4 linked regions of the Ovis aries genome follow. The protein of the gene in region 4 interacts with the protein of the main gene of each other region in a pairwise test. Links are inferred from orthologs where the notes say so. Each region holds a gene or a part of one and is shown on either strand. Other genes may lie near its edges. The genes, in order: RETREG3, DTX2, RNF5 and ABHD16A.

Evidence for each region.
Region 1: the proteins of ABHD16A (region 4) and RETREG3 interact in binary tests that used the Homo sapiens proteins (3 or more experiments, as listed by UniProt). The link is inferred for Ovis aries from reciprocal best matches to the Homo sapiens genes ABHD16A and RETREG3.
Region 2: the proteins of ABHD16A (region 4) and DTX2 interact in binary tests that used the Homo sapiens proteins (3 or more experiments, as listed by UniProt). The two-hybrid records come from large-scale screens. The link is inferred for Ovis aries from reciprocal best matches to the Homo sapiens genes ABHD16A and DTX2.
Region 3: the proteins of ABHD16A (region 4) and RNF5 interact in binary tests that used the Homo sapiens proteins (3 or more experiments, as listed by UniProt). The link is inferred for Ovis aries from reciprocal best matches to the Homo sapiens genes ABHD16A and RNF5.

Annotation. Positions count from the first base shown.
Region 1 is NC_056064.1:42,393,999-42,398,317, reverse strand, and holds part of RETREG3 (reticulophagy regulator 3), read left to right. Parts: intron 1-252; coding exon 253-283; intron 284-1,189; coding exon 1,190-1,316; exon of another isoform or gene 1,317-1,605; intron 1,606-1,968; coding exon 1,969-2,053; intron 2,054-2,870; coding exon 2,871-3,008; intron 3,009-4,002; coding exon 4,003-4,085; intron 4,086-4,319. UniProt on the Homo sapiens protein: Endoplasmic reticulum (ER)-anchored autophagy regulator which exists in an inactive state under basal conditions but is activated following cellular stress.
Region 2 is NC_056077.1:34,901,913-34,906,866, reverse strand, and holds the start of DTX2 (probable E3 ubiquitin-protein ligase DTX2), read right to left. Parts: upstream 3,215-4,954; 5' UTR 3,087-3,214; intron 2,983-3,086; exon of another isoform or gene 1,777-2,982; intron 1-1,776. UniProt on the Homo sapiens protein: Regulator of Notch signaling, a signaling pathway involved in cell-cell communications that regulates a broad spectrum of cell-fate determinations.
Region 3 is NC_056073.1:26,283,894-26,288,995, forward strand, and holds RNF5 (E3 ubiquitin-protein ligase RNF5), read right to left. Parts: upstream 2,801-5,102; 5' UTR 2,692-2,800; coding exon 2,552-2,691; intron 1,503-2,551; coding exon 1,484-1,502; intron 1,390-1,483; coding exon 1,277-1,389; intron 1,175-1,276; coding exon 1,120-1,174; intron 1,043-1,119; coding exon 925-1,042; intron 832-924; coding exon 734-831; 3' UTR 250-733; downstream 1-249. UniProt on the Homo sapiens protein: Membrane-bound E3 ubiquitin-protein ligase that mediates ubiquitination of target proteins. May function together with E2 ubiquitin-conjugating enzymes UBE2D1/UBCH5A and UBE2D2/UBC4.
Region 4 is NC_056073.1:26,697,588-26,701,180, forward strand, and holds the end of ABHD16A (phosphatidylserine lipase ABHD16A), read left to right. Parts: exon of another isoform or gene 1-358; coding exon 359-482; exon of another isoform or gene 483-896; coding exon 897-1,001; exon of another isoform or gene 1,002-1,235; coding exon 1,236-1,299; exon of another isoform or gene 1,300-1,520; intron 1,521-1,613; coding exon 1,614-1,670; intron 1,671-1,818; coding exon 1,819-1,881; intron 1,882-1,913; exon of another isoform or gene 1,914-2,010; coding exon 2,011-2,087; intron 2,088-2,171; coding exon 2,172-2,270; intron 2,271-2,365; coding exon 2,366-2,412; intron 2,413-2,586; coding exon 2,587-2,670; 3' UTR 2,671-2,914; downstream 2,915-3,593. UniProt on the Homo sapiens protein: Phosphatidylserine (PS) lipase that mediates the hydrolysis of phosphatidylserine to generate lysophosphatidylserine (LPS). LPS constitutes a class of signaling lipids that regulates immunological and neurological processes.

The sequences.
Region 1 (4,319 bases), on a different chromosome or scaffold from region 4:
ATCAGAAGGGGCCCTAATGCGCCGTTTGCGCTCCCACCCCATCCTGCCGGAGAAATGAGCGGGCATCGCCCTCACTTCCTTGTCTGTAGCTCCCTAACTGGCGCTGTAACATGGTGTCTCCTTTTTATTGGCTGTTACTGTTTTTCCTTTTCTCCAAACCTATTAAAACTTGAGCTATCAGACCAACAGCCTAACATTTTCATGTTTTGTTTTCCCTACCAACTAATGCTGGTGTTTGTTTTAATATTGTAGTGCCAAGACCCGACGCGTTAGACAATGAGAGGTATGGAATGCTAATTAAATCCCTTTTTGTTGCTCTGATTGATTCTCTTGTTGTAATATTCTGGTTACAGGTTGTTAACTCCATGTTTTGGATACACATTAGAAGCTGAGAACCTAGTCTGTTGCAAATAATCATTTTAACAAATCCTAAAGTTCAGGCAGCAGTAGGTTGAGATGCTCAGTGTCCTGTGGTACTTGTAAGAGACATTTCTGAGAAAGCAGCATTAGCGTGCTGACGTACCAAGAAATTATGCAGCCTGTGTAAAAACTTAGAGGCAACTTACCTCATTTGTCTCTGGCTTTTATAAAAACCAGGCCATTTAGTGTTTTCTGTGAACTTTGGCCGTTTAAAGTTCCTGGTCAGAAAACACATTCGTTTCTGGCATCAGCAAGCCAAAGATCCCTCTTGTGGCTTACAGCTCCTGCTTTCATTTTTCAGTTCATTCATGTCATATGTTGGATTGTCTCTGCTGGGTTTGTTTTGGTTTTGTTTTATTTGTTTTCTCTCTAAGGGGCACATCCATTGGCTCCACCTCACCTGCCGCAGTGCTGTCAGACTGTGCTTTACGTTTTCTCCTGGATTGCAATCACAGTGAATTGCAATAGTCTGAGCACAGGAAAGATGCTTTTAAGCACAAAGGGCCTAGGAGCTGGTGGCAGGTTTACACATGTGGATTGGGCTGCTGGCTCAGGGTGGAGGTGTCAGAACAAGTTTGCCCTCCTAGTCCTTAAATTCAAGTTTCAACCTGGAGAGCCAAGAAGAAAGTCGTGCTTCACCTCTAGAGCACCTCGGGCTAGCCACTCCCCAGCCCCTATTTAAACCCGGAACCATCGGCTGCCTTCACAGTGAGATGGGGGGGAACCCTCAGCACCCTCCTTTCACAGCTCCCCCTTCTCTTTCCCATAGCTGGGGTTTTGTGCACCCTCGGTTGCTCAGCGTGCCCGAGCTCTGCCACCACGTAGCTGAAGTCTGGGTTAGTGGGACCATTTTCATAAGGAATCTTTTGCTTTTCAAAAAGCAAAACCCAGGCAAGGTAAGACTCTTCCCTTTTTCACTCTTATTTCTGGCTTCTCAGTTCAGTTCATGCTAAACTGAAACAGCCCTTTTACCTTTTACTACCTATCCTCATTCAAGAACGAAAAGACCATGGTGCTGGTAGAGACAAGGGAAGTCATAGGAAGGGGCTTCTGACCAGCCACTAGGACTAAGGCAAGAACTCGGTGACTCCTTCAGGTGCTTGCCACTTAGATTAGGCCATCTTCCTGCCCCAAGATGGGAAAGAAAGCTTGCTTGTGTGCATTCTGTGTCATATTAAACATGTGGTAAGTGGTTGAGTTTTTTCATTTTATTTTACTTTGCCTTAAAAAAAGCCCACCACCAGCACTTGTTTTCAGAGAGAATTTTTGGCTCAGTCCTATTCAAACCATTTCCCAGCACGAAAGGTGCAGCCCTGTGGGGTTAGCCATGTGAGAAGAGTTTGAATAGAAGTGGACATGCTCCCTTTCCTCCCCAGCAGAATCACCAGCAGCAGCAGTGGCTAGGTACATGTCATTCTGACATGTCCATGCTTTATTCAGAGGTCATAAAAAATCATTTCAATCACATCTCCATCTTACCTGCCCCACATCCCCACCCCATCCCCTGCCATATGGCAGAAACTTAATATTGTTTCCTGACATCCCTAGTTCTGCTTGCTGAGCTGTGGGATACTGACCTTTTTGGCTGTCTTGGGCCGCTACATCCCTGGGCTCCTGCTCTCCTACTTAATTCGTAAGTATGGTATATACCTCCCCCACAAGCTTAACATACTCATAGCTTTTCTAGCTGTAGCTAACTTTGTCTAGAGAGAGAACTTTTATATTTTTGTTCTCCAGGAAATGACCTTTTTCATTTTCATGTCCTGTTTAGAGTCATGAAAATACCTTTCTTCTTACCTGTGTCAAGCTCCCACATATAAATTCCTTTTCTTACCAAGTTTTAGAAACTGACAAGGGTCCACTAACCAGTTATAAAGAAAGGACTGTCTGTCCCTATTTCAGGAGGGAATTTTTAGAGTCAGTGTATTGTGTAACAGTAGGACATAACTCTTAGGATTCTGTTCTAGATTCTGTTTACTCTGTAGGTTACTAGGTTCTGTTTACCTGGAGCACTTCCCCCCCCCCACCCCCACCCCCCCAGAGCAGTTTTGTAAATGTAGTTAACTTCATATTGGCATGAACTCTGTCTACCTGAGGCTGGAAGAACTGAGCAGTGATGACCCTGGTGATTAAATAGCAGAAGCTCGAATGACGTTGTGTGGCTGCCGAGGCGTCGTTAGCATCTGGTCTTGTTGATGCTCGGTGACACCCATATGCAGGTGACAGCACTGATTCTGCCCTTGATGCATCAGCAGCATAGTCCACTGTGCACGGCGCTGTTGGGGCTACAGAAGTCTCTGACCCCAGATCTTCACCTCGTGAAGATGACCTGCAGAATTAGGCAGGACCGTTCCACACTGGGTCCCAGCCCTAAGGACACACGGCAGAGGGACAGTCAGGACTGTATGCAGCCCTTCCTCCATTTCACCACTCTTTCTCACTCCTCTCAGTTGTCACTGTCATGATGTGGCCCCTCGCTGTGTACCACCGGCTGTGGGACCGAGTGTATGTGCGGCTGAAGCCCGCACTGCAGCGGCTGGACTTCAGCGTTCGTGGCTACATGATGTCCAAGCAGAGAGAGAGACAATGTAAGTGTCCAGGGGAACCTCCCGTCCATTTGGGCAGTTTGGGGAGAAGGAGAAGCCCAGAGGTTTGGCATCATAGGTCCTTGAACGTGGAGAAGTGGGATGTGATTGCTGTATAGGGGGGTGGTAGGTAAAAGTGATGATCTACTCTAGGGAAATCTCTGCAGGCTTGCCAGTTTTTCCCTTTGGAATTATAGACACTCCCATTTTAAACAAATATGAGAAAAGTTCTCCCAAGTCATATAAAAGACAGTGAAGATATTCCCAGTGTTAGCTGCTTTTTATGAAGCACGTCCCATGTGCCCAAGCACTGAGCTGGCTGCTTTGCATACGTTGTCTGTACAACACCCTTAAAAAGAGGGTGGTATTTTCCTTTTCTGGTTGAGGAAACTAAAGCTCACGGTTAGTAAAGGGCAGAATAGGTCTTTTAAACTCCTCAGCTGGGCCTCTGTTCACTCCTGAAAGCTGCCTTCCCAAAGCGATTGAAAACTGGCTTCTGAAGCCTGGTGTGTACTAGCCTGAGATCCTCCAACCCACAAGCAACAGGCAAGCGGACTTTTCCCTCTCTTCCGTGGTGCGGTCAGGCTGGGTCTGCATTAAGCCCTGGCCTTCTAAGAGCCCTGCACACGAGCGCCAAGGCCCGGCTCTGCCCGGCGCAGCCAGCTGAACAGCACCACTCCTCAAAGCCTGACTCAGCCAGGTGGGGTGTCTCCCTTCGCCTTCTCTGTGATAGTGTCCACTTTTCACACTGATATCTGATCTTGAGGCTTGTTGACAAGTCTGGTAGTTGACCTCTCCAGAACAAAAAGGGTTTCTTTCCTGTGTTATCATGTTATCAGCTTACCTTGCCACTTAGGCAGCTCCTTCCTCAGACATCGTTCTGTAGGTTTAAGGGGTTCATTCTCTGGTATTCTGACTTTAATGCCTTTGAAATTCAAAGGGGGCGGGAGTTTGCCCTCAAGGGAAGGTGTTCATGGCTTCTGCTCTTCCTACACAGTGCGTCGCAGAGCTCTCCACCCAGAGCGTGCTGCAGACAACCACAGTGACAGCGAGGAGGAGCTTGCAGCCTTCTGTCCTCAGGTATCTGGGGTGTGGGAGCTGCCTCACTGGCCAGTCTTTTTAGCTCCTTTTTTACCATCTGGTACTCCTGTTTAGACAGTAAACAGGTTTCCAGGCTCACTGTGGGCTCTCTAAGGACCCAGCTTCTTGCCTTTCTCCAAGGACCTTCCTGCTCCCAAGTGCAGTGAGGAGAGAAGCTAGTATTATATTGGGACTTTGTATGTAGATCTCAGTTTGAGTCTGGTGACGAGCACA
Region 2 (4,954 bases), on a different chromosome or scaffold from region 4:
AATGGGTGATCAGTGTGGAGCAATCCAGTTCTCTGTTTATCTGAGGTGAATATTAAAACAAACCCACAGAGGTGACTGTTTAATTCATCTCCGGGTGCTGAGCACAAACCCTGGCACACAACTTCCTGGGCACACGTGGAATGAATGAGAGACGCTTCATCCGTGGCTCCATTCCTGCTGTCTCTTAGGTACCTCCAATATGTCTGAAGCCAAACTCACCTTCCTTGCTTCTCTCTCTTTCCTCCCGGATTCCTTGGCTCTGGGCTGCCCCTCCTCCAGCTTCTCCCCACAGCCCAGCAGCTGCCCTGGCTTGCTCTTGCCTCCTCAGCCCGCACTGTGAGCACTTGGCTCGGACCTGTCAGCCTCTCACCTTGATGAGCACTCGCTCTCATCTGGCTTCTCACACTTGTCTCTCCTTCTCAACCACCTCAGAGACAGGGGCGAGGCGGAGCTTCCTGAAGTACAGTCCTGCCCCTCTCTTCCACACCTCCCTTCAAGGTCTAGAAACAACGTTCACATTCCGTGGCTCACGGGGAAAGTCCATCAGCCCAGTCCCTCACTGTCAACACTATCTGCTGGCACACCTCCCTCCAGTACCCCCTCTTCCATCTACACTTCCCCCTCCCCAGCTCCTTCCAGAAAGTTTAAGTAACGACCCACTACCCCATATACATCCAGTTTCCCCAACTCTGCTTCAACTTTACCCGGCACCCTACCCACTTGGCCACCCAGTTAAACACCTCCAGGATGCCGTGCTGTGCCCTCTTGTGAGAAAATCCCCTCTCATCAACTTCTACAGCATTGCATCTGTCGTCCACAGTTCTCTCCGGCCGTTCTCTCTCTCTGACAAGCCCAGGAACAGCCAGAGCACAAACTTCCCTGTCTACCTCCCTCTACTAGAAGCTGGGGTGATGTAAGGAAACAGTCACAAGGAGAACGATCCAATCCAATCCATTCCATGCTTTCTAGCCAGGGTGCTCATTTAGCAAGGCCCTTCCTGGAATTCTCCTGCTAAAATCCCCCAAGTCTTGGCATGACAGGCAAAAGCCCCCACACTCAACCTTCTGCCCACCTTTCCAGGCTTCTAGGCCATGTAGCCATCCCGTTGCCCCAGCCACACTGGAGTCACACTTACAATGACCCAGACATGCCGGGTCTCTTCACAACTTTGCATTTACTGACTCCTCTGCCTGGCTTCGTCCCCTACTTCCTGGGTCCTACTCCTTCACAATTCACTTTGGCTCTCACGTTCTTGAAGCCTTCTGGACCTTCCCTCCTGCGCAAGGGTAGGGGTGGGATGGGGGGGGCTCTGCCCTGTGATTACCCACTCCTCCATATGTATCACACCAACAACACCTTGTCGCTGTCTATGGTTTCTTTATCTTTCCCACCAAACAATGAGCTCCTGGAAGACAGAGTTTTTGTGGCTGGTCACTGCACCCTCAGCACCGAGCAGGGGGCCTGACAAAAAGGAAGCACCCAGTAAAGGCTCAAGTGACCAAGGAAATTAAAATTTCCAATGCAGAAATCCTGACTCGTGTCCTTCATCTCATAATGCATGTGTGAAAACAGAAAGTAGCTTCTAAGACTGGTTAAACAGGAGAAGCTGTTGGCAAGAAGCCACCTGAATTTATCTGAGACAAGAGGCAATCAACAATCCACTCCCAGGGCTCACTTTCATCTTGGGGACCTCAAATTTCCCCCTCCCCAGTCCACACTTTCTCTACTGAAAACCAGATTGGACAGGCAGCGACGTGAAGTCCCCGTGGCTCTCACCTTTTCTCTGTGGAAAGCTGGCACAAACCGTGCCTTCTTGATGAAGATACCAGATCCTTAGGAGGAATGACTTGTGTGGATTCCCATCTTGATAGAAAACGCAAACAACAAAAACTGGGCAAATCTGAAAGGCTTGCTGACTCAGCGACACAAATTCCAAGGCACCTTTGCCAACAAGGAAGAAGACGATCGAGTTTTAAATTGGGAAACAGCAGTTAGTGAAAACGAATGCACAGATGTTGGGTCTGTGTGCTGTGGCTGGGGACTGGAAACCACCAGATTTATTTTCCAACAGCCTGGGCACAGCAGAAGGTACAGTAGTCTCCCTCTGCCCACTCAATAATCAAGGGGCTAGTTAGGGGAAGGAAAAAAAAAAAAAGCCCTTCCATAGAAAGGCCTGAAAGGATTTTGTGAGCCAGTTTGCTTTGTGAGCCTCCAAGAAATCAACTACAGAACATAAAAGTTTGCCAAGGTCACACAGTAAATGAACAAGAAGCCTAGCTATAGTTACCCTGATGGTTTAAGTAAAGCCTGATTACCAGAAAGACCACCTTCTACAACTCTAGACGAGCTACATGGCATGCAGAAATATTTTGAGTTTCTTAAGCGACCAAGCGTCTATGCACACACTATTTCCACTGCTACTGGCACTTAGGGAGGGAAGAGGAACCAGTGTGGAGGACAGTAGCTGACTTGAGAAAGGGTAGTTTCGGGGGCAAAGGGGGAGGGAAGTCTAAGTCCTCTTCACAACGTAAGCTACTGGCACCCCGCAAAAGTGAGCCAGGCTCCCACAAAAGAGGCACTTCCTGGAAGGCGGACCGCACTTGAGAAGAAGAAAGCGGAGTTAGTTAAGCGAACTCCTCAGAAGTACAGCCCCCGGCTCCAGCGAGCCGCCCACCGGGAAGCAGATCCCAGCAGGACCCACACCCTCACTAGGGCAGCCCGGTGGCCCCGCCGCCGCCTCCCGGATCCTGTGGGAAAGGGTACTCTCCTCCCGACGGGCCAAACTCTCAGGGTCTGCGCCGCTCCCCTCGCCAGCCCTTCGGCGTTCCCGCTCCCCACCCCGACCGGTCCTAAAGCTCTGCGAGCGTCTCTCAATCCCCTCAACTCCCGCCCTCGGGGACCTCCACCCGGAGGCCGGTCCCCGCAAGCCCCCTGGGACCTCAGCCCGGAGCGCCTCTCCAGCCCGGCCCAACCGTCCCTCACGCCCACGCCCGCCCCCTTCCGGCCCCAGCTCGGCTCGGTCTCCCCCGCGTCCCCGGGACCCCAGCCCTAGGCGACGAGCAGGTGGCCCGGGCCGCCCCTCTCACCGAGACTGAAGAGAGCGAGGCAGGCGGCTGGAGGACACCGCCGCGCTCAGACTGAAGCTCCACTTCGGCCTGGGCACTGCTCCGGCCGTAGCTCCCACTCTAACGAGGAGGCAGCCTGAGTGAAACTCGGCGTCGCAGCTTCCTCGGGTTCCAGTACGCATGCCCAAGACGCTGGGCCTTCTGGGAAACGTAGTTCCGGCGGGGCAGCAGGGGCGGGGCCGAGCCCAATGTGCACCTGTTCAGTTCAGCTCAGTTGCTCAGTCGTGTCCGACTCTTGGTGATCCCATGGACTGCAGCACGCCAGGCTTCCCTGTCCATCACCAACTCCCGGAGTTTACTCAGACTCATGTTCATTGAGTCAGTGATGTCATCCAACCATCTCATCCTCTGTCCCCCTTCTCCTCCCGCCTTCAATCTTTCCCAGCATCTGGGTCTTTTCAATGAGTCAGCTCTTCGCATCAGGTGGCCAAAGTATTGAAGCTTCAGCTTCAGCATCAGTCCCTCCAATGAATATTCAGGACTGATTTCCTTTAGGATTGACTAGTTTGATCTCCTTGCTGCCCAAGGGACTCTCAAGAGTCGTCTCCAACACCACAGTTCAAAAGCATCAATTCTTCAGCGCTCAGCTTTGTTTATAGTCCAATTCTCACATCCATACGTGACTACTGGAAAAACCATAGCTTTGACTAGACCGACTTTGTCGGCAAAGTAATGTCTTTCCTTTTTAATATGCTGCCTAGGTTGGTCGTAGGTTTTCTTCCAAGAAAAAAAAGGGCTTTGTACCTACTTGGGTGACAAACACTTAAACACGCAACTGCAATCTAGTGCGATAAATGTGATAAAGGAGTAAGAGCATAGAAGGGGTGCCTAATTGCAGGAAGAGGGGATGTCAGGAAGACATTGCAAAGGAGGTTACACTAGAATTGGATTTTGAAGCCTGAGTATGGGTTTGTCAAATGGAGTACAGGGAAACTTTTGCAAAGGATGAGAGATGAGAAAGTGCCTGATGCATTCAGAAAGCAATGAAATGTTCTGTGTAGCTAAGGCAGAGAATAGGTACATGGACGGGGTGAGGACAGAGAAAATGGATTAGGGTGTGGCAGGATATGGGGAAATGGCTGGGTGAGATTATGAAGGACACTAAATATCACGCAAGAAATTTAGTCCACTGGAGTCAATGGAAGGATTTAAGCAGGGGAAAGAGAAGCAGCATTGCACTTTAGAAGTGTACCCTTGTGGTGGGTGGAGGATTGAGAAAGGAGTGGGGAGACCAGTTTGGAGGCTTAGGCTATAGTCCAGGTCAAAAGTGATGAGGCTTAAACCAGGCTAATGACTAATCTTTTGGATCACAGACTTCCTTTACTTCCTAAAGAAAGTTGTTCCCAGAAAAATGCTCAGATGTATTCATACGTATACACACAGATATTTTTACATACAGTTCCAGGGGGTTCAGAGTCCTCTAAATCTTGGACTCTAATTGAATATCTTTACATAATCTAATCAAAAGCTAGTGAAGGAAGAGAAAGAGTGCCTGCAGCAGGCCTAGTTTCTGGTACTCTAGGCCAGGACCCAGAGCTGACTTATCACCCAGGAGCTGACTTAGAGGGCACCAGTCTTGAGCCTGGGAATGAGCCAGTTATGCACACAGCCAGCTCTCCATAGAGGAATGAAGGGTAACGATTTACCTGCGATTTCTACTAGATGCCTGAAGTGGCTACAGATTAGAATAGGACGCTTCCCTTCCCCTCTCAGAGCCTCGGTCACCTCAGCCATAATCATCCGCAGGCCGTCTAAGGCACCTAGCAGGTGCTGAGCACTGGACATGCGTCACCTCCGTGAATCCTCTCAATGAGATGGATGTTATTCCC
Region 3 (5,102 bases), about 410 kb from region 4:
CTTTTCTTTTCCCAGTCTGTTCCGGCCCCAGCCCAGTTCTCCTCTGTATAATCTTCAGCCCACCTCCCGCCAGCTTTCTTCCACAACCAGAGCCTCCCACAGAAAGTGATGAGTAAACACCTGCCACATTTGCTGTGTGTGTTGTGTGATGCCCTCTCCCCCATGCTTCCCCACACCACACCAATATCTGCTCAAGTTGGGGAGAAGATGCTCCTGTCTTGAAAGGAAGGAGGGACGGACAAACGTAGGCAGAGTGAATACATCTCATCATGTTTATTGAATTTATCATAAAGGAGGTAGTGAGGGGAGGGAAGCACTTGAGAGTCAGGACCCACATTAGACACTGGGGAGAGAAAAATTAAATTAAATCAAGGGGAACATGGGAGAAGAGTCAGAGGGAGCCTTGCCCACCTTTCAACATCAAATCAAGAAATATGGTGGAAAGCAAAGGATCGGGAGAGACGAGAGACAGACACTGTCTTTAGTCCATCCTCCTCTCCCAGAGCTGGGAGTTATGACGCTACTGAGGGAGCAGTCCAGAGCACAGGTTCTCCTATCCTATGCACAGATGTCACTCCTTCTCCACACATCCTTGTGGAAAGTGGCCAGGGTTGGCCTTAGCCAACAGAAATGAAGGGCTTGGGTGGGGAGGGTCCAGGAGTAAGGAAGGGTCAGCAGGGACCCCCAATACTGATTCTCCTCTGGCTGGTGGTGGGCAGGAAGGAGACATGGCTCAAATACTGAGCAGCCAGAAAAAGAAGAAGATGGCGAGAAACAGGAAGAGGGAGTCCTGCCAGCTGGAGGCCGGGTGACCCTGTCCCAGATCCACACCTGTGGGAGAGAAGAGAGCTGTGAAAGAAGCATCCACTCATAGGCCAGGGGATTCAGAGGACTTGCTGGTAGCAGTTGAGGGCAGACTCTTACCTGTACCCCGACGGAACGGTTCATGGGTATTGAAGACGGTGGTGAAAAAGCCAAAGGGAAAAGCACCGACACCAAATGAGAAGTGAAAGCCCCCAGTATCACCAAATGGCTGGAATCCCTAGGGAGGCGGAGAAGGTCAGTGGGAAACTGGGCGAGTCTTTGGCAAGGAAGGAACACAAATCAGACAAGACTCACCCCTCTGCTCTCTGGAGCGGGTCGCTGGCCCTGTGGGCGGGGTGGGGTTTTCAATCTGAGGAAGAGGAGAGGGACTATCAATATTCCCTCCTCTTCTACACCCCACTCCCCAGAAAGAAGTGTCCACTTTCTTTCAGTACCACCTCCCCTCTCTTACCTGGGATCCTGGGGCTTCTGGCTCCCTCGCCCATAGAGAGGGACAACGTTTTCTCTGCTGATCCCAGCTTTGCACACTGGGCACTCTTGCCTCTCTGGCCGTGTCTCCAACCACTGGGGGAAAAAAATGTGGTTTCCAGTACACAGAAGGGTTCTTCCAGCTCCTCAGACCTCCCCATTTCCCTCTTCATCTCCTCTGAGTACGCACCTGATGAAGACAGGGCCAACTGCAAGGGGGAAAACAAAGGTCAAACCAGTTGAAACCAAACACAAAAGAGATACCTACCCAACCTCAGAGTCCCACCTCGCTGTTACCAGGTATTACCTGCTGTTTCTTTTCATATTTTCCACAACTCCTACCATGCCAGCCAATTTGGCCATCCTGCTTCTCTAACCTTCCAAAGCTACATCTATTCTCAACAGGCTCAACCCTCACCTCTCTCCTCTTCCCTACCGCAATCCCCACACCCCATACATATACAAATCCTCACCCCTTCCTTCTCTGCTTTTCAATTTAATTTCCAGTTTTCTTCAACCACCCCTTTGCAGGCTCCTTTCAGCCCTCCTCTCATTCTTGCCGCCATCACTCCCCAACCAAACCCCCTTTACCAGCACCTACCTTCTCCCATTACTCCTTTTCCTATCTCCTATGCTCAATAAAGACCTTACTTCCACAATTCCTTAATCTTTGGGGGCTGCTACTCCACCGTGCTCTTGTCCGGAGGTTTCTCATACCACCCCTTGACACAGCTCACCTGAATGTGATCCCTCGTTCTCTAGATCTCCCCTAACCTTGCAGTCTAATCCGTTCCCAACTGTACAGCTGCTGCTGCTGCGTCGCTTCAGTCGTGTCCGACTCTGTGCGACCCCATAGATGGCAGCCCACTAGGCTCCCCTGTCCCTGGGATGGATTCTCCAGGCAAGAATACCGGAGTCGGTTGCCATTTCCTCCTCCAATGTACAGCTAAGTAAGACCCCTCAATTTCCAGAGGTTAAGGTGGCTCGGGTCTCACCTGCACAGATGTGCGGTACCCACCTCCTGCGCCCCATTTCTTAACATACTAGTTGGAGCCTAGTTCCTACGACTTTCCACGGGTCTCCTCTATACAGACGTGACCCTCTCACCCACACATACCCAAAAAGACGCAAGAAGCCCCCTCAGGCCTCACCTATGAAAATGTGCCCTCTGGTTGCCCGTATGACTGTGGCACCCCCACCCCAACCTCCCCAGTATAGATGTGAGCCCCAGTTATTTTTGCCCCTCTCAGATTCTCACCAGTACAGGTGGCCACACACACTGACCACAGCTTCCCGAGCAGTCTCCAAACATATATTACATTCGAAGGTCGCGCCCGCCCCGCCCCGCTCGCGGTTTGGCCCTTCGGGGCCCCCGTCCTCCTCCTCCGCTGCTGCCATGGCCGGTACTCTTTCGTCCCCCGCGTACCCCTTAGTCCCCCGAAACACACATACAGACGCCCCGAGAAACGAGAAACCTCCTCCGGCCCACGGTCTTTGGGCAGGCTTCAAAGTTTTCTAATCACTATTGGCCTGAGTGCCTGCCAATCATACAGAATCGGAAGGAAGGATTGGTCCAAAAGGCGGGGGCGGAAAGATGATCACGTGGCTCCGCCCTTGTACAATGACTATTGGCTGACACAGTCACAGTTAGTCGGCAATGCCACGGGATTGGTAACAACTCCATACGTCCTGTCACCCAGCTAGGGCGGGCTTTATTCGTCTGAGTAACTGCCAGTCATAACCAAAGGCCAGAAGCAATTGGCTCAAGACTGCTTAGACCTCGCCCACTACAAGACCCAGTCTTTCTTTTACTTCCTCTTTCAGAGAATATCCAGATTCCTATTGGACTTTGGAGCGTTTGGCTCCGAAGCAACTGATTGGCTACACCTCGACAGAAAATGGTAGCTAGGTAAAGTGCGCGAGCGCATCAGGCAGGGACGGGGTGGGCCAATCCTATGAGGATTGAGCCTTCTCTGGTCCCACCCCTTCACCTCTATACTGTCGCCATGGTGACTGCTCCACAATTGGCGGGGTTTGGGGTTCAAAGGCCTCGGCTCGTCCTCATCCGGGTCCTCCGACTGAGGTCTCTCTCGACTGATTGGACCCCTTTTTTCGCTCCTGATTGGCCGAGATCGGGAAAGACGGCGACGAGCTCGGAAAAGAGGACAAATACTAGGGTCGCAGGGTTCAAAATGGCTTCGGCCTCCTTCGGTGACGTAGAGAGCAGAACTTGGGTCCGCCCCTCCCTCTTAGTGAAGAAGGGAGCAGGACTAGGATTAGCCCGACGTTTGGATGGTGCGAACGTCGATCTGCAGCGCTGGTGTTAACCCATCTCCCTCGGCTGGACGACTCAGCCCGCCCCTCTTTAGGTGATTTACAGAGCAGAACTGAACTGAAGACCCATCCCCTTTTTAACGTGGCACATAGTAGAACGAGTTGACCTCGACTCCGTTTTAAATCTTAAAAGCAGAAAAGGCCTAGCCCCCCTCCCTTTGTGAGTGGGTGCAAGAGGCAAGGCCCGCCCCCTTTTAGGCGACCCGCCCCTTCTTTCTCCTGTGCCCGGCAGAACTGGGGTCTTCCTCCTGGGCTGGACCCCTGGGACTTAGGCAGGCTGCTTCAGAGCGTGGGCCTTTCGCACAAGTTTGGGCCTCTTCTACAGTCAGTGGCCCTCACTGAAGCCCAAGGAGCAGAACTAGGTAACAGTCCTGGAGTTACCGGTGTTCTTTACATCCTTTTCAGGGCAAAGGTGACTGGGGGCTGGAGGCCAGACACAAGCTGAGGGTTCTTCAACAACATCCTGATAAAAAGGCCCCACGTGACTCAAGTGAGGAAAGATGAGAAATTAGGAGTCGCCTATGGCAGAGGAGGTTAAGGTTCAGGCGACGTGTAGAGGTTTAGGGAAAAGGTCATTGAGAGGGAGAAGAGGAGACCCAATAGGAGTGGAGAGTGATGGGATGATCCTGACAAGGGGATGATGGGAGTATGGTGGAGAGAGAGCTAGGTACATGACTACAAAATTAAGGAGGCATGCTCATCCCAGAGGAAACAGCATTCTTCCTCACTTTTTCAAGAAATTAAGCCTAATGTCCAATTTCCATTGGGAAAAAAGCATACATCTTTTCTATATTGCAGAGACGGGTAGTCTCAGCGTGGGTGAGTAAGGAGACTATACGAAGGAAGAAAGTAAGGTACAGCCTACAGGGACAAGGGCCTGAGAGTGTCCCTTCTCCCCAAAGACCAGGATGGGGGGCGGGCAGTGGAGGAGGGAGCTGGACTGCTAGGAGATAGTGGCAGGGACAAAGGGCAGAGATCAGATGAGGGTTGGAAGGTGAGGTGGGGTGACATCTCGTCTCCATCGAGCCCTGGAGAGAAAAAGAAGAGACGTGAAGAACCCAGTGCTTGGCATATAGTAGGTGCTTGATAAATATTTGAATTTGAATGGGGAACAGGAGGAGGGAGCTGGAAAAGGGTTGGAGTTGGATGGAATAAGCAGCAGATGTGGGAGTTGAGAAAAAAAAGAAGCCAATTGACAATATGAGGAGAACTGATGGAGAATGAGAAGGAATACACCAGCAAGGGACACACAAGCCATGTGTGCCGAAAGGAAGTTGGAGGAAAAAAGATGCAGCTGGAATCAGAGAAGGCCAGAGAGACCTAAGCAAAGACCAGCTGAGCCCTCGTGGGGCGGAGCTAGGCAAAAACTGAACGATGTGGGGAGGCGATTGGCAAAACAGGGCGCCCATCACCGCCCCCTACTTCCTGGCCAGCCCCGGAAATCAGCGGGCGTGGGGAGGGGTGGCGGGGGATAG
Region 4 (3,593 bases):
TATATTTCTGTAGGACCTCCCACTCACCTGTGACCTGGGTGCCAAGGGCGGGGAGCTGCAAGCCTCCTCCTCTTACACTGGGGGTTTAGTAGGAGGAGAGATAGTGGATCTTGTTGTAAATGACTGGTTTCTAGAGAGAACAGCCCCTTTCTTGGCCCTATTCTTTCTTTAATTTTAATGCCACTGACAGGAGTCTATTCCATTAAGTAAGATGATAGCTCTCTGAATTGTCTGTTCAGAGCTGCAGTTCCATCTTCGCTGTCTATTGCAGTGTAGCTACAGGAAGGGTCCATGCTGGGAGGGTGGGAGTGGTGGGCAGGGGGTCTTTTGTGCTGACCCTTTGCCCTTCTTCCTGCAGGGGGTGCCGTTCCCACAGAATGAGGCCAACGCCATGGATGTGGTGGTCCAGTTTGCCATCCACCGCCTGGGCTTTCAGCCCCAGGATATCATCCTCTATGCCTGGTCCATCGGCGGCTTCACTGGTACCCACCTCCTTCCTATCCTGCTACTGTAGGCGCCCTCAGGCCATCTCTGTGTCCCCCCGGGGGAGTAGGGTGGAGGAGAGAATAGATGGGCTCTCTTGAGTGGGTCTGGAAGAAGCTATCATATTTGAGTACACTTCACATTTCCTTCCACCCTTGTGCCCGATGATTAAAAGTAGAACCTGGGGTGGGGAGATCAAGGAGTAAATGTTGCCTCTGGTATTGTCTTCAGTGCGCTTGGTTGTTCTCTTTGGACAGTGCCCTGGCCAAGTGAAGTGAGGGGTTAAGGCGAGACCTGGGGCTAACTTAGTAGGGAGGATGGGGTGGGCCTGTAGGGTCAGGGGGATGAGGGTAGGGGTGGGGGTGGGCAGGAGCCCCTTGGTCCTCACCCTTCCTTTCCTTTCCTGGTACCAGCTACGTGGGCCGCCATGTCCTACCCAGACATTAGTGCCGTGATCCTGGATGCCTCCTTTGATGACCTGGTGCCCTTGGCCTTGAAAGTCATGCCAGACAGCTGGAGTGAGTGCAGCTCCCAGGCCTGCCCTTGAGGGAAGAGGTGGGCTGGACCTGGGAGACGTTCTCACTGGAGATGGTTCCCCTCTGTGTGGGTGGGGAGTAGGCCACCGCGTTGTTGAGAAGCAGGGGGACTCCCCTGTCTGGGAACCTCCATTTTCTCTCTCCACGGACAGTGGGGACCTCTGTGTTGGGCAGGGACTTCGTGTCTGCTGTCCTCTCACGTTTATCTCACGTTAGGGGGCCTGGTGACCAGGACTGTGAGGCAGCATCTCAATCTAAACAATGCAGAGCAGCTGTGCAGGTGAGGGCTGGCCAGTGTCTAGCACCCGATACCCTCCCCACCTCATCCCTTGTAGAGATGCTGCTGGGACCAAAGCGCAAGCATAAGCCACTGCCCCGTGTCCCCGGAGGGACCCTCCCACCACCCCCAACCCCTCCCAGCTTCCCTGGGACCCTGGACCTTCTCATGATCTGGCAGCTAGTAGGTTCATGCCCGGCACAGCAGGGATCTCCTAGCAAAGCCTGAAAAAAAATATAGCCAGTGCTGGGGTGAGGCAGTCAGTTTCACCTGTCCCTGCTCTGAGGTCTCCCTCCCCACTGTGCTGTCCTCTGAAGGTACCAGGGCCCTGTGCTGCTGATCCGCAGAACCAGGGATGAGATCATCACCACCACGTGAGTGCCTGGGAACTTCTACCCTCCTGGATCCCAGAGACAGCCAGGAAGCTGTTCCCTACCCCAAAGAATGCCCGCCAGAAACCCAAGTATCCAGACCCTTCCTCCCCACCCTCCAGTCCCTCCAGTGTCATTCTTCTACCCCCAGGGTTCCTGAGGACATCATGTCTAACCGAGGCAATGACCTCCTGCTGAAACTCCTGCAGCATCGGTGAGAACCAGGGTGTGTGCGCGCACACATACATGTCTGTACTGACGCCAGTGCAGGGAGGGGGGCGGTTCGGGGATGAGGAGTGAAGAGGACTGGGTCCTGACTTCCTGTCCCGGTGCTCCTCCATAGGTATCCCCGGGTGATGGCGGAAGAGGGTCTTCGAGTGGTGAGGCAGTGGCTGGAGGCCTCCTCACAGCTGGAGGAAGGTGAAAGGGGATCTGCTGAGGGCTTTGGTTGGGGGTCTGGAAAGACCAGGATGCTGATGGGCACATGTCTCTCTCTATGACCAGCCTCGATTTACAGCCGGTGGGAGGTGGAGGAGGACTGGTGCCTGTCTGTCCTCCGCTCCTACCAGGCAGAACATGGGCCTGAATTCCCCTGGAGCGTGGGTAAGGAGTGCTGGGGCAGAAGAGGTTGGGAAGAGCCCAGGAAGGGGGTGAATACCCAGATGGGTAGCCCACGTTTGAGCACCTTCTCTCTGCAGGGGAGGACATGAGTGCAGACGGAAGACGGCAGCTGGCTTTGTTTCTGGTGAGCTAAGGCGTGGGAAGCAGGAAGAGGGTGCCTGAATGGCCAGGGGCACAGGTGGGGCTTGGGGACAGGGGTACCCTGTAAGCAATGGAAGGAGCAGCTTCTTTAATGTGGGTAGTTGGTTCAGAAGGTGTCTGTGCTCTGTACCCCACCTGTCCCACCTTCTCCCCTCAGGCTCAGAAGCATCTGAATAACTTCGAAGCCACACACTGCACCCCACTCCCAGCCCAGAACTTCCAGATGCCGTGGCACCTCTAGGGACCACACTGGGACTTATTCTGGAAGAACGGATGGACGGAGACATGAGGAAGGACCCTGTTTGTGATTCTCTGTGTTTATTTTGCTGTTTATAGTTTCTGGCAAGCAGGGGGACCACCCCTACTTCTCACCGTTCCTCTTGCACGTTTCCCCTCATCCATCTGGCAGTACCTAACCTTCCCAACACACACCCTGCATTAAATGAATGAATTATTCCTAATAATTAATAAAAGTATTTTTTCTACCGGCTGGCTAATTTTGTGACTTCCCAGCTATCCAGGAAGCCAGGGTTGGGAGTGGAGAAGAGTTGAAGCTCCAAATGACTGGGCTTTGAGAGACCCCACTTCAGGCAGCCAATTTAACCCTCACCATCTCTGCTGTTGCCCCAGGCAATCAGCCCCCAACCTGAGTTGTCCTTGTCCAGTGGGTCTCCCACTCTCACCTTTCCCTGGCATGCCTAGTACCATCACCACTGTGCAGCGTCCCTGGTGCCTGCCTAGGTCTTCCTACATACAACCACCCCAGGAGACCACGGTTGCCTCCAGTGCTCATAGTTCATGAGCTCTGTTGTTTACAAAGTACTTCCTAGCACCTGACTTACACTTACGCAGCAATTCTACCGATTTCTAGGTCCAGCCTGCATGGTTCCAGCATCAGAACCTCCAGTTTTTCTTGCTTAGTTCTTGCTCTTTCCATGGGGAGTAAGGAATGGCTTGTTCCCCATGTTGGATGCAGCAACCCCTGCACAGCCTCCTCACCATATAGTTGCTCACCTTAAGTCTCTCTCCTCACAACCTCTTTGCAATTCAACAAACACAGGCCCTGCCAGGGACTGAGGACAAGGTGCCAAGAACTCAGATCTTCCCAGAGCCATACTTTGCCTTATTGGACAGCTGTTAGAATATTCTTGGTTTGAACCAGGA